Ovis aries: one gene and its partner. The protein of the gene in region 1 purifies or fractionates together with the protein of each later gene. This does not show direct contact. Links are inferred from orthologs where the notes say so. Each region holds a gene or a part of one and is shown on either strand. Other genes may lie near its edges.

Evidence for each region. The genes of interacting proteins can lie anywhere in the genome.
Region 2: the proteins of MAPK3 (region 1) and DUSP6 purify together in Homo sapiens (affinity purification with mass spectrometry; 7 studies listed by BioGRID and IntAct, with this or other methods). This does not show direct contact. The link is inferred for Ovis aries from reciprocal best matches to the Homo sapiens genes MAPK3 and DUSP6.

What each region holds. Positions count from the first base shown.
Region 1 is NC_056077.1:26,695,007-26,701,549, reverse strand, and holds the end of MAPK3 (mitogen-activated protein kinase 3), read right to left. Parts: intron 5,087-6,543; coding exon 4,897-5,086; intron 4,735-4,896; coding exon 4,618-4,734; intron 4,357-4,617; coding exon 4,242-4,356; intron 3,632-4,241; coding exon 3,500-3,631; intron 3,318-3,499; coding exon 3,208-3,317; intron 3,117-3,207; coding exon 2,994-3,116; 3' UTR 2,963-2,993; intron 2,169-2,962; 3' UTR 1,542-2,168; downstream 1-1,541. Other genes in the region: lysophospholipase D GDPD3, read right to left, coding at 1-93, 324-366, 643-781.
Region 2 is NC_056056.1:125,701,412-125,705,850, forward strand, and holds the end of DUSP6 (dual specificity protein phosphatase 6), read right to left. Parts: intron 3,597-4,439; coding exon 3,289-3,596; 3' UTR 2,035-3,288; downstream 1-2,034. UniProt on the Homo sapiens protein: Dual specificity protein phosphatase, which mediates dephosphorylation and inactivation of MAP kinases. Has a specificity for the ERK family. Plays an important role in alleviating chronic postoperative pain.

The sequences.
Region 1 (6,543 bases):
CGGAACAGGTTTTTGTCGTGTGACACCACCACCACGCCGTCCCGAGTCAGGTGGCAGTCGAGCTCCAGGAGGTCCGCTCGCTGGGCCATGGAGCTACGAGAGCGAAGGTCAGTAAGTGGCTGGGGGACAGGGATGAGCCAGATGGCAGGGTGGTGGGGAGGCTGAGGGGAACATCAGGTCTGGCCAGATATGCAGGCAGTGCACTGCGCAACTCCCGGGGGCTCCAGTCACCCAGATCAGGAAGTGGATGGCACCCCTTAGCATCATGCCTCACACAGCTGGCACAACCTTAGCCAGCAGCATGGCTGGGCAGGTGGACTCACTTCTCCATGGCCTCCATGGTGTTCTCCAGGCGCTCTCCAGACCCTGTGTGGGGCAGCTGGCGTGGGTTCCTGGGGCCTGGCCTCCCTCCCCCCACACCCCCTGCCCCTTGCCTCATCACTTCAGTCAGGACAGGTTGAACGGCTCCTTTTTCCCTATTCAATCTCTTGCCCTGCCATCCTTATCTCCGCCTACCTTGAACTCTGCCCTCCCTTTAACATCCTGCCCTTGGGACCTAGCCCTCTCTGCTGCCCACCTGCCTCGCAGTCCTCACTCCATCCTCAGGAGTGGCCACCCCGTGCCTATCCCAGCCCAGCTCACCTCCGCGGTGGGCCCCCAGGCGGGGACGGAAGGCTGGAACCCATGGTGTGTGCAGCAGGCGAGGTCGGCGCAGGAAGAAGAAGGACAGCATGACATAGCTGCCCAGGGCGGGCAGGGCGTAGTAGAGCAGAGGGCTCATGGCCACGCCGCCTCTCCAGGCTCCGGCAGCCGTGGAGCTCAGCTTTTCCCGGTGGACTGTGCTGCTTCACTGACTGCCTGGCTGATGTAGGCTGACTCCACCACCGGCCGCCACCACACCCCTAGGGACCTGCTGAGCCTGCTGCTGGCTAGAGGCCAGAGTGCAGGGCTGAGCTGGGGATGGGGTAGAGGCAGGAGAAGAGACCAGGCAGCTCTGGGCCTCACACACTAGGCCCTTCGCACAGCCCAGCCTCCTTGTCTCTGTGGCCACACCAGGGAAATCAAGTCAACCCTCCCCCCAGCAGGTCCACTACCACACTCCACCTTCCCACTGGTGCCTGTTGCCGGAGTATATATACACCCCTTGCCGTTTCCAGAGAATCTGGGGGTGTGCAGGGTGTCCCTGAGTCACTCTAGAATCATCTCCAGCCAGTTAGACAGGAAACCATCACAGAGGGGACAGGACAATGAATAAGGGGGAACTGACCCCGACTCAACAGACATGAATTGGAGCAAACTCTGCAAGAGAGTGGAAGACAGAGGAGCCTGGCAGGCTGCAGTCCATGAGGTCGCAAGGAGCTGGACATGAATTAGTGACTGAACAACAAGACCCCACTCTGGCCAGGAGTCTAGATCCCACTCCCATCCTCAACCCTGGCCAGCAGGGGAGCCGAAGGCCACCATGCCGGGTAAAGCATCAGCGCTCAGGGCAGCAAGGGTGAGGGTCAGGGCGTCGGCGAACAGAGAGAGAGCCAGGGCCATCCATAGACACATCTCTATATTTATATATTAGATACAGGCACAGGGGTGGGCGGGGGCCCTGGGCGCTCCACAGGCCCCCACCTCCACTTCTGTTCACCCACACACGGAAGCAGCAGGGATGTTAGATGTGGCAGCTTTGTAGGGGAGGGGTTGAGACCTGGGCCCCCGCTCCTCAGGGATACTAGCCCTTGAGCCTTAGGAATGTTCCTTCAGGGAAAACAGGGTGGGGTTTTAACGAGGTGAGGGGCAGGGCTGACCCTGAGTCCCAGCTCACGTCCTCCTCGCCCCTCCCCCACCGCCCCTCAGTCGGTCCGGGGCAACCAGAGCCCTTGGATTCCAGAACTATCAGAGACTGGGAGAGCTGGGCAGACAGAGGCAGAGCAGCAGAGGGGAATTTGCTTTGGGGCCACCTGAGCCCCTCAGGTCCTGGGCGGGGGGTGGGGAGGTGGGCAGGAGGAGGAAAGGAAGGGCGTGTTGGCCTGCCTGAGGCAGGACGCCTGAGCGAAGCGAAGGGAGGTGGCCAGGCCCGCCCTCCACCCCGACCTGGGCTGTCGGGGGGGTCTGGGCTGGGTACACGGTCCATTTTCTAACAGTCCAGCAGGGGAGGGGCAGGCAGGAGGCAGGGCCTAGACAAAAAGGTAGGCAGGAAAGGAACCATTAGCCCGGTGGCTGACCTGCCTGAGCCCCACCCTCACTTCCCTCCTATCACCTTGCGGCTGGGTGGCATGCAGCTGGCTTTCCTTATCTGTCAGTGCGGGTAATATTAATACCCATTTCAAGGTACTGCTATTGGGACTAAGTGAATTGATACAAGCAAACGTCTTGCAGGAATTTCATTATCAGGCTGTCTCCAGGAGACTGAGGCGCGGCAAGGTGAGGTGTCTTGCACAATATCACACAGCCCTTATGAAGTAGCAGAGCCGGGCTTTGAACCCGGGTGTGTCTGCCTTACTGATATCAGGCTACAGCTGGCCAAAGACAGACAGGAAATGAGAGGAGGGCCGCACAGCAGTGTGGGTGTAGCCCCAGCCAGGTTCCCGCAGGTGTGTGAACTGCTGACCTGGACACCAGGTGAGAAAAAGCCTGGCATGTGGGTCAGGCTGGGTGCTGCTGGCTCCTCCCAAAGCAATTACTGCTCCCCCTGCCTCTCTGCCTGCCCTGGGGGAGCCAAACCCTGGCTCCGTTTCCTCAGGTGGATGAGGGGGGCCCTTCGTGACCTGGGGCTGGAGTCTGCAAGATGTTGACATGGGGGAGACATATGGGGCTGGGGACCACAGGTCTGTGGCCAAGGCAGGCTGTAGCCCTTCTGTTGCCACCAAACCCGTGGCTCGTGGATGTGAGCAGGCTTGTGACCGTATGGAGGCATGCTGGGCATTCTCGTCGCAGGGTGAATCTGTGCAGGAGTGGGGGAGGCACTCACCAGGCCCCAGGAGCAGAGGCAGCCAGCCAGGTTAGGAGGCCTCCAGCACCCCAGGCTGGAAGCGGGCTGTCTCCTGGAAGATGAGCTCCTTCAGTCGTTCCTTGGGTAGATCATCCAGCTCCATGTCGAAGGTGAAAGGTTCCTCGGCCACTGGCTGGGGTGGCAAAGAAGTGGGGTGGCTCAGGGCAGGGACCGAGGGAAGACCCCCGTCCACCTGTCAGCCCTGCCACTAGTGGCTGGCCCACCTCATCCGTTGGGTCATAGTACTGCTCCAGGTAGGGGTGAGCCAGCGCTTCTTCCACTGTGATCCGTTTGTTGGGGTTAAAGGTCAACATCCGGTCCAGCAGGTCAAGAGCTAGGAAGTGCAGGGGTCAGAGGTCAAAGGGAAGGTCAGAGAAGCTCTCAGAAGCACTACTTGGCTTCTCTGTGTTCAGAGGCTTGTTGGTCCAGAGGCCTCTGTGTCCCAGAAAACCGCTGGGCTCTTGTACCTTCCTCTACACCCAGTTTTTATTATACAAGTTCCCAAGTCTCTCTCACCTTTGGGGTCTGACTTAGGAAAAAGCTTGGCCCAGGCCACCTTGGTCTTGGAGGGCAGAGACTGCAGGTAGTTTCGGGCTTTCATGTTGATGATACAGTTCAGGTCCTCCTGGGATGGGGAGCCCAGAATACCTGTGGGTAGGGCAGGTGACTTGGTGAGCAATCTCTCCCTTCTGGGAACAGAAGGAGCCAAGAATAAGAGCCCTCCGCCAACCTGCTCCAGGCCAACCATTATCTCCCAGCCAATACTATGGGGGTGAAGAGCCGGGGGTCTGGATCGGGCAGCCCCAGGTTTAAATCCTGGCCCGAGCACTTCCTAAGTGTGGGGTGTATGGAGCCTTGCTTTTCCCATCTATCAAATGGGGACAGTATCTGTAACTCAGTTAAACACTGTGAATGCTGTAGGGGCTCCTGGACCACACATGGTGGTCCCCCTGACCTGACTCCTGCGGACACACTGACCCTGAAGTGAAGTCGCTCAGTTGTGTCCAACTCTTTGCGATCCCATGGACTATATATAGCCTGCCAGGCTCCTCCGTCCATGGGATTTTCCAGGCAAGAATACCATTTGGGTTGCTATTTCCTTCTCCAGAGGATCTTCCTGACCCAGGGATGGGTCCCGGGTCTCCTGCACTGCAGGCACACTCTTTACCTTCTGAGCCACCTGGGAACTTTGACCCTAAAGAAATCTCACCTCCAGTAAGCAAGTTTCCCTCCCACTCAGCTGGCCAATACCCCCTACCCAGAATGTGGTTGAGCTGGTCCAGGTAGTGCTTGCCGGGGAAGATGGGCCGGTTGGAGAGCATCTCAGCCAGAATGCAGCCCACAGACCAGATGTCGATGGACTTGGTGTAGCCCTGGGGAGGAGGAGAAAAGTGGTGGACTCCTGGGCCAAGCCGGCACCCCTGACCCTAGGGTCAACACCAGCCAGGGAGGCAGAGCGAAGAAGCCTGGGGAGTGAATCCTCAGTTTCTTTCCATAGCCCAAGGACCAGAATAATGTGACAAGGCCCAGAAGGGACACTTCCTGCATCATGAGGGTCAGTGCTGGACTCAGAGGTGGCTCCAGGGCTTTCTGGGATCCGGTCTCTTCCCTTCACGGGTGGGTGGGCCCCCTACCTTGGAGTTAAGCATGATCTCTGGGGCCCGGTACCAGCGTGTGGCCACGTATTCCGTCAAGAAGCCAGTGTGGTCATGCTCGGGATCAGCAATCCGGGCAAGACCGAAATCACAGATCTAGAATGCAAACCAGGCTGCTGAGCTCAGTGCTCAAGGCCTCCTGGGCCCAACCAATCCTATCACCCATGTCTCTCCTACCCATGGCAGGAAGGGGACTACTGGTCACCCTGAAGCCTGAGACCCCAGGGGCAGAAGGAGACAGGCACGCAACCCTCAGACCTTAAGGTCGCAGGTGGTGTTGATGAGCAGGTTGGAGGGCTTTAAATCCCGGTGGAGCACGTTGGCGGAGTGGATATACTTCAGGCCCCGCAGGATCTGGTACAGGAAGTAGCATACATGGTCGTTGCTCAGCTGCTGGCTTTTGAGCAATTTGTACAGGTCTGTCTCCATCAGATCCTGCACGATGTAGCTGAGGTGGGTGCCAGAGGCCCCCCAGGTGGGGGCAGTGGGAGGCAGTTGGTTAAGAAGAACAGACTCTGCTGACCAGGTTTCACATCCCTCCAGCTGATGCCCCTGGGACTCAACAGATCTGCCAGCTCATATCATGAGCTGGGCAAGGCCCACACTTAGCAGGTGAACTCAAGGCCTCTGCTGGATCTCAGCTGGTGACCCTGAGCAAAGCGTCGCAGTTCTGTAGCCTCAGTCTCCCTATTGAGAAAATGGGGATAATAAACTGGGAAGCAGGAGAACGTCCCAGCTAAGAGCAGTAACTCTGGAGTTCACCTGCCACTGTCAATCATTCCTGCACTGGTCATTCATTCACTTTAGGAACTCAAGCCCTGTCTGCGCCTCTCTTCCTCATCTGTAAAGGGGAAAAAAAATCCTTTTTAGAGAGTGGTGGTAAAGATTAGTTGAGAGATGACCCAGGCAGTGCAGCCAGCTTGGTGCCTGGCACGTTGTAAATGTTCGGCAAATGTGAACTAGTATTGCTGTTATAAAAGACTGAGCCACATGGCTGTTGAGAAGGTTAAATGAGATTATGTATGAACACCATCTGGCAGGCAATAAATGTTTGCTTAAAAATAAATGCCTGCCTTATGGGGATGGTTTGTGCAAGACGAATGAGGAGAAACTTCCCAGCGGCACGCTCCTACTCCGGGGGCTTGGCCCTACACCCGAAGACAGAGGAGTAAATGTCCTTTTATACTCTAAGATAAAAAAAGAATTAAACATAAACAAACAAATAAACGTCATGTGGGTTGTTTCTGGAAGACTCAGTTATGGCTGTCTTTCAGAGTCAGCCTCAAAAGGGCCTTCCGAGAACACCTGGACCAACCCTGCTATTTTAAAGATGAAGAGGCCCGGCATGCTGCAGTGACTTGGTTAAGGTCACACGACAAGCTGAGGGTGAGTGTGGAAGTTTCCTGCCCACAGTTTGTGGTGGGGGCTGCAAACAGTGCAGTACAGATCACCACTCTTGGGGGAAGGACTGGGATGGTGGGGGTGGGTGGGGTAGGGGAGAGGTGATGAGTGTAAAAGCTCCTAACAGAGCCAGGCAGGAAGTGGACCCACAAACTAGGAAAGCAATGTGTGTGTGTGGGTCGGGGGGGCCACAAAGGCAGGTCTGTTCCTCCCTGGGCAAGGTACGAGTCCACAGGTGACTGGGGTGGGACTCTGAGCAGGAAGTCCCAGAGAGGGGACAGGTTCTTGTCTGGGGGAGGGGAAGAGGCAGCCACAGAAGCACTTGATTTTATTTCAGTTTTCTGAGCCTCAGTTTCCTCATCTTTGAAATGGAGCTGCTGAGACCCATCTCCTAGGGCAGTTGGGAGTTAGAATAGGAAATGTCAAAGCACTCGGCTTGAGCTGCACCAGACTCACAGTAGGCCCTCAAAACAGGGCAGTGTTCTTCCCGCCTGCCTTCCTGCC
Region 2 (4,439 bases), on another chromosome or scaffold:
GAAGGGGGAGAAATCCCTAACATTGCAACTTTATGGGGGCCCTAAACTCTCCTTGCTCCCTCTCTTATTTGCACTGATGACAAAGACCATTTGCTACCAATTTATTGGAAACTTTTTTTTTTTTTCACAGCTTAAGCTGCTTAAAGGCAGGGAGCTCCGTCTCCCCCAAATCGATGTCAGACACTTGCTGAATGAGCTGGGCTCAATTATGCTCCCACCACAAGCTCAGCTCACACTGTGACCCTGCGTGGCTTCCTGCTATTCATATGTGTTACTTCCCCTTTGTGGTAATGGCTTGTGGCATTGGGCCAGAAAACATTATTAATTTCAGAAGTGGACTGACAAACAACAAACCCACAGTGAACCGAGAGGAAGTGCTGGGGAGGCCAGCTGTCGGCTTGAGCAGAGCCGAAGGAACTCAGTGTTTGCAAGTTCTAGAAGGAAAGGAGACGATAATCCACAAAGAGGAAATGCACTAAAATTATCCACCACCCGTATTAAAGAGAGAAGAAAGAGAAAAGAGAAAAGAAATCAGAGAAAAGAGAAGGGAGGAGAAAAGCACACAGCTACTCGAGCTGCAGCTGGACAGGAAATTGCTAAGGCTGCTCGCAAATCCCTACTTTGAAGAGGCAGTTTAGGGAATGCCAGGAGCGGAAACCGTTCAGAACCGGATTAACACGAGCCAAGTTGAACTGCAACCCACTTCTCCTTTCGGAGCTCCGGCTGACTCAGGGCACCCAAATGGGAGGGACTGACTTGGTATTTTTCTGCACTGTTTCTGCCTTTTGTACATGCTTAGCTGCTAAAAGTCACACAGGACAGCTTGATACAATTGTCATAGAATCAGGGTTATTTGCCTCCTAGCAGATAATCCAACTGACACCTCATATGTACCATGTGAGTGAAAAGCTCATTTTTCTCTCCACTGCAGACAAAGGGACTAAGCTCATTCAAAAAGGGCTGGAAATGTACGTTCTAGTTCTTTTGATTTCATACACTTTTGTGTACTTTGACACTCGGGACACGGAGAGGGATGTCCTGAGGGAAATGACAGAATATTAAGCCTTTACCTTGAAAATTAATGGTTCAAAATAACCTTAGCATAAAAAATTTTTTTTTCAACAGGGGTTTCTGGCCCACATTCTAAATTAGTTAAGCACAAAGCACATTAGGACAGGAGTGGTGATGCTTCAAGCGCTAATATGAAATTGTGGCCACATCCAGTCTCAGGGAGAACGGTTAGCTGTGCTCTGCCATGTACACCAGAAAGGGGAGACACCATCCCTGATTCATTTACTATTCCAAGACTAGAATTTGCAGATAGAAGTGCCACTTACAAACCAGAGAAATAATTCTACTTTTTTCCTGGTATGTGTATTACTGAGCAGAAGACCCTGACAGGGAAAATCAAGAGAGGTTAATGCTGTCGTTTTGTTATTCTGATGCCTTCTCTTTGTGACTATTCATGAATATCTAAATATTGTAATTTCAGAAAGCTATGCTCTTATGACACCATTTTCCTTCAAGAGCATCACAGTTTTCTTAAATAGGCCAGACTTACTATATTTTGTCCATAGGAATGATTATGAACTTCCCTGGTGGCTCAGATGGTAAAGAATCTGCCTGCAATGCAAGAGACCCTGGTTCAAGCCCTGGGTTGGGAAGATCCTCTGGAGAAAAGAATGGCTGCCCACTCCAGTATTCTCACCTGGAGAATTCCATGGACAGCAGAGCCCCGTGGGCTATAACCCATGGGACCACAAAGAATCTGACACAACTGAGAGAATTTCACACTCACACTCATAGGAAATGATATAGTCAATCCCTTCCATTATGTCACTTTTACTTGAAGCAAAAGGCTAATTTCATAAACCATACCTGAAGACTTCTTGGTAATAGTTTGAGATGAGAACTTTGCCCCAATATTCCTACATGTATTTTAAATAAGCCAGTATCAATCCCCAACTGAAAAATCCTAAAATGTATCACTTCATATCTAAGTACAATTAAGGAGAGATTTTGAAAAAATACACATTTGATAGCCAAAATAGTTATTTATTAATAATTTAAGGTTTTACATTCTTATAATAAAATTTCAGCTCAGAACTTTATACCATCAACATACGGAGCCACTTGTCTCCTTCCTGCACAATCATATGCATGTCACCTATCGAATGAGTACCCATGCTCTCACACACACACACACACACACACACATACACACACACACACACGCACGCGCACACGCTTCCAGTTTCACACAAATTGTTTTTAAAAAGGAAAGAAACCAACCCAAAATATTGCATTTGAGGTGACACTCCCTGAAGAATTTTGTACAGAGGTAAGATACTGTTTAGCACAGCTGAAGTTTCAACAACAAAAAAAGTGAGCCCATGATTTTGGTGTCTTTCCAAGATATCCCCTTTGAGACAACACAAATCAAAATATTTACAAAGATAAGGCAGAGTCAAACTACATTAAGGAGAAAAAAAGTCACAAGGAAGATATATGAGAGAGACTGAAGACTGCACCATAACAAGGTCTCCATGATCATCAAGTGTCCATGAAAATGTCATTCAGGAATTGGTAGCGTTGAGCATGCTGCAAATATATCCTTTGGATTCAAAAAGAGCAAAAGTTTCCATTGTTTTTAAGTGGCAAACTGCTCTCTCTCCCTTTGGATGATTTCTTTTAAACCCATCAAAGGAAAAACACAGTTCAAACAAACACTGTCAAGTGATTTAAGATCAAATATTTACAATAATCAAATGGAATATGAGATTCATTTGACTGATTTTTTTTTTTCTTTTCTTTCTTTCTTTTTTTTTTTTGCAAACTGATACTACAAACACAGAGCTGAAACCTCTCTTTGGCTCCTCTATATGCAAAATTGAATCGGTCTTCACTGAAGACAATATAGAATCAGTTCCAGATGCAAAAGAAACAGTCATACAAGGCCCTAAAGAACACATGCTCCTACCCTACCATTTGGTCCTACCCTATGTACCTGGAAGTCCTCGAATCCCAGTCCCTGCAGGGGTAGGCTGTACACAGGGGTGTGGAGCAAACCTACTGCCTCTATCTATACAGCGGGTCCTGTTCTTCCAACAGGAAGGGAGCAAATCTCTCCCTTGGGAATAACCAATTCCATACGTGGTAACCTTGTCTAATACAGACAGCTGGTGTCCTGTTAACACCTGGGGCCACATACAAAGAAAGCAGCCTGGCGGCTGCTGCTGAGAGAAACTGCTAAAGATCGACTGGACACATCCCAGTTGGGGGGGCCCTTCACGTGGATTGCAGAGAGTCCACCTGGTAGACATTCTGGTTGGAGGGCGTGGTGAAATAGAGCTGCTGTGTGGGGACGCGGTTGTCACAGGGGCTGCTCAGTCCCAGCGTCCTCTCGAAGTCCAGGAGCTGGCCCATGAAGTTGAAGTTGGGAGAGATGTTGGATTTCTTCATCTTCACAATGTCATAAGCATCATTCATCGACAGATTGAGCTTCTGCATAAGGTAAGCCACAGTCACAGTGACCGAGCGGCTGATGCCAGCTAAGCAATGCACCAGGACGCCACAGTTTTTGCCCCGGGCTTCATCTGTAAACAGAAAAAGAAAGGGAAAAATATCAGTGGACCAAAAATCCCCCTTTGTGAACGATCAGCCTAAAACCTGAGTAATAATAATACTAAAGATTAAAATACAATTGTGTGTGGCAGCTGAGCCCTGCAGGCAGCAGAAAATGTATCACTGAGCTAAAACATGTACACTGGGCACAATTACATATTTCAGATATTTTCTGAAAAGGGAGCTTTTGTATTAAGTTTCTGCCAACACAAAACCCCTTAATGTGTGCATTCTTTGCCTCAGCATGTGAATACCAGAAACCCTGCAATATGGTCGTGAATGCCTTTTATACAGACAAGCAGACTGCAAGGGTCTATTAAATTATTCTCCAACTGTTGTGCAGCTAACAATGGAGGTATTCAGGCATTTCAAAAAAGAGAGAGGGAAGTCACAGGGGACAGCCCATTAGGAGGAACAGGATGTCGACATGGCCTGAAAATGAGTTCCTTTGTAATAGGAAATGCATTACAATGCCTGGAGATTCGCTTCTCCAGGCTTTCAGCCCACAGTTCTTCCTGCTGGGCTCAGGTTACCCTCACTGTCTCACTGTGAACCAGTATCACAGTAACATTCAGTTGGATTACAGCATCTCACATTCACAGAGCTTTCCAACAACTAACTTGGTGTCCTAAAACAACTCCCAGGTTGGTCTTTTAAAATTATAAAGTCATGCTAGGATTCCTGTCTACCAAGAGTACTTCTATCTGGCCCTCCTCCAGTCCAAAGATGGTGGGAAAATCCTGCTGTCTACATACAAATGACTGGAGTCAGTCAAAAAACAGACAAAATTTGCAATACACCTGTGGTCTGCAACC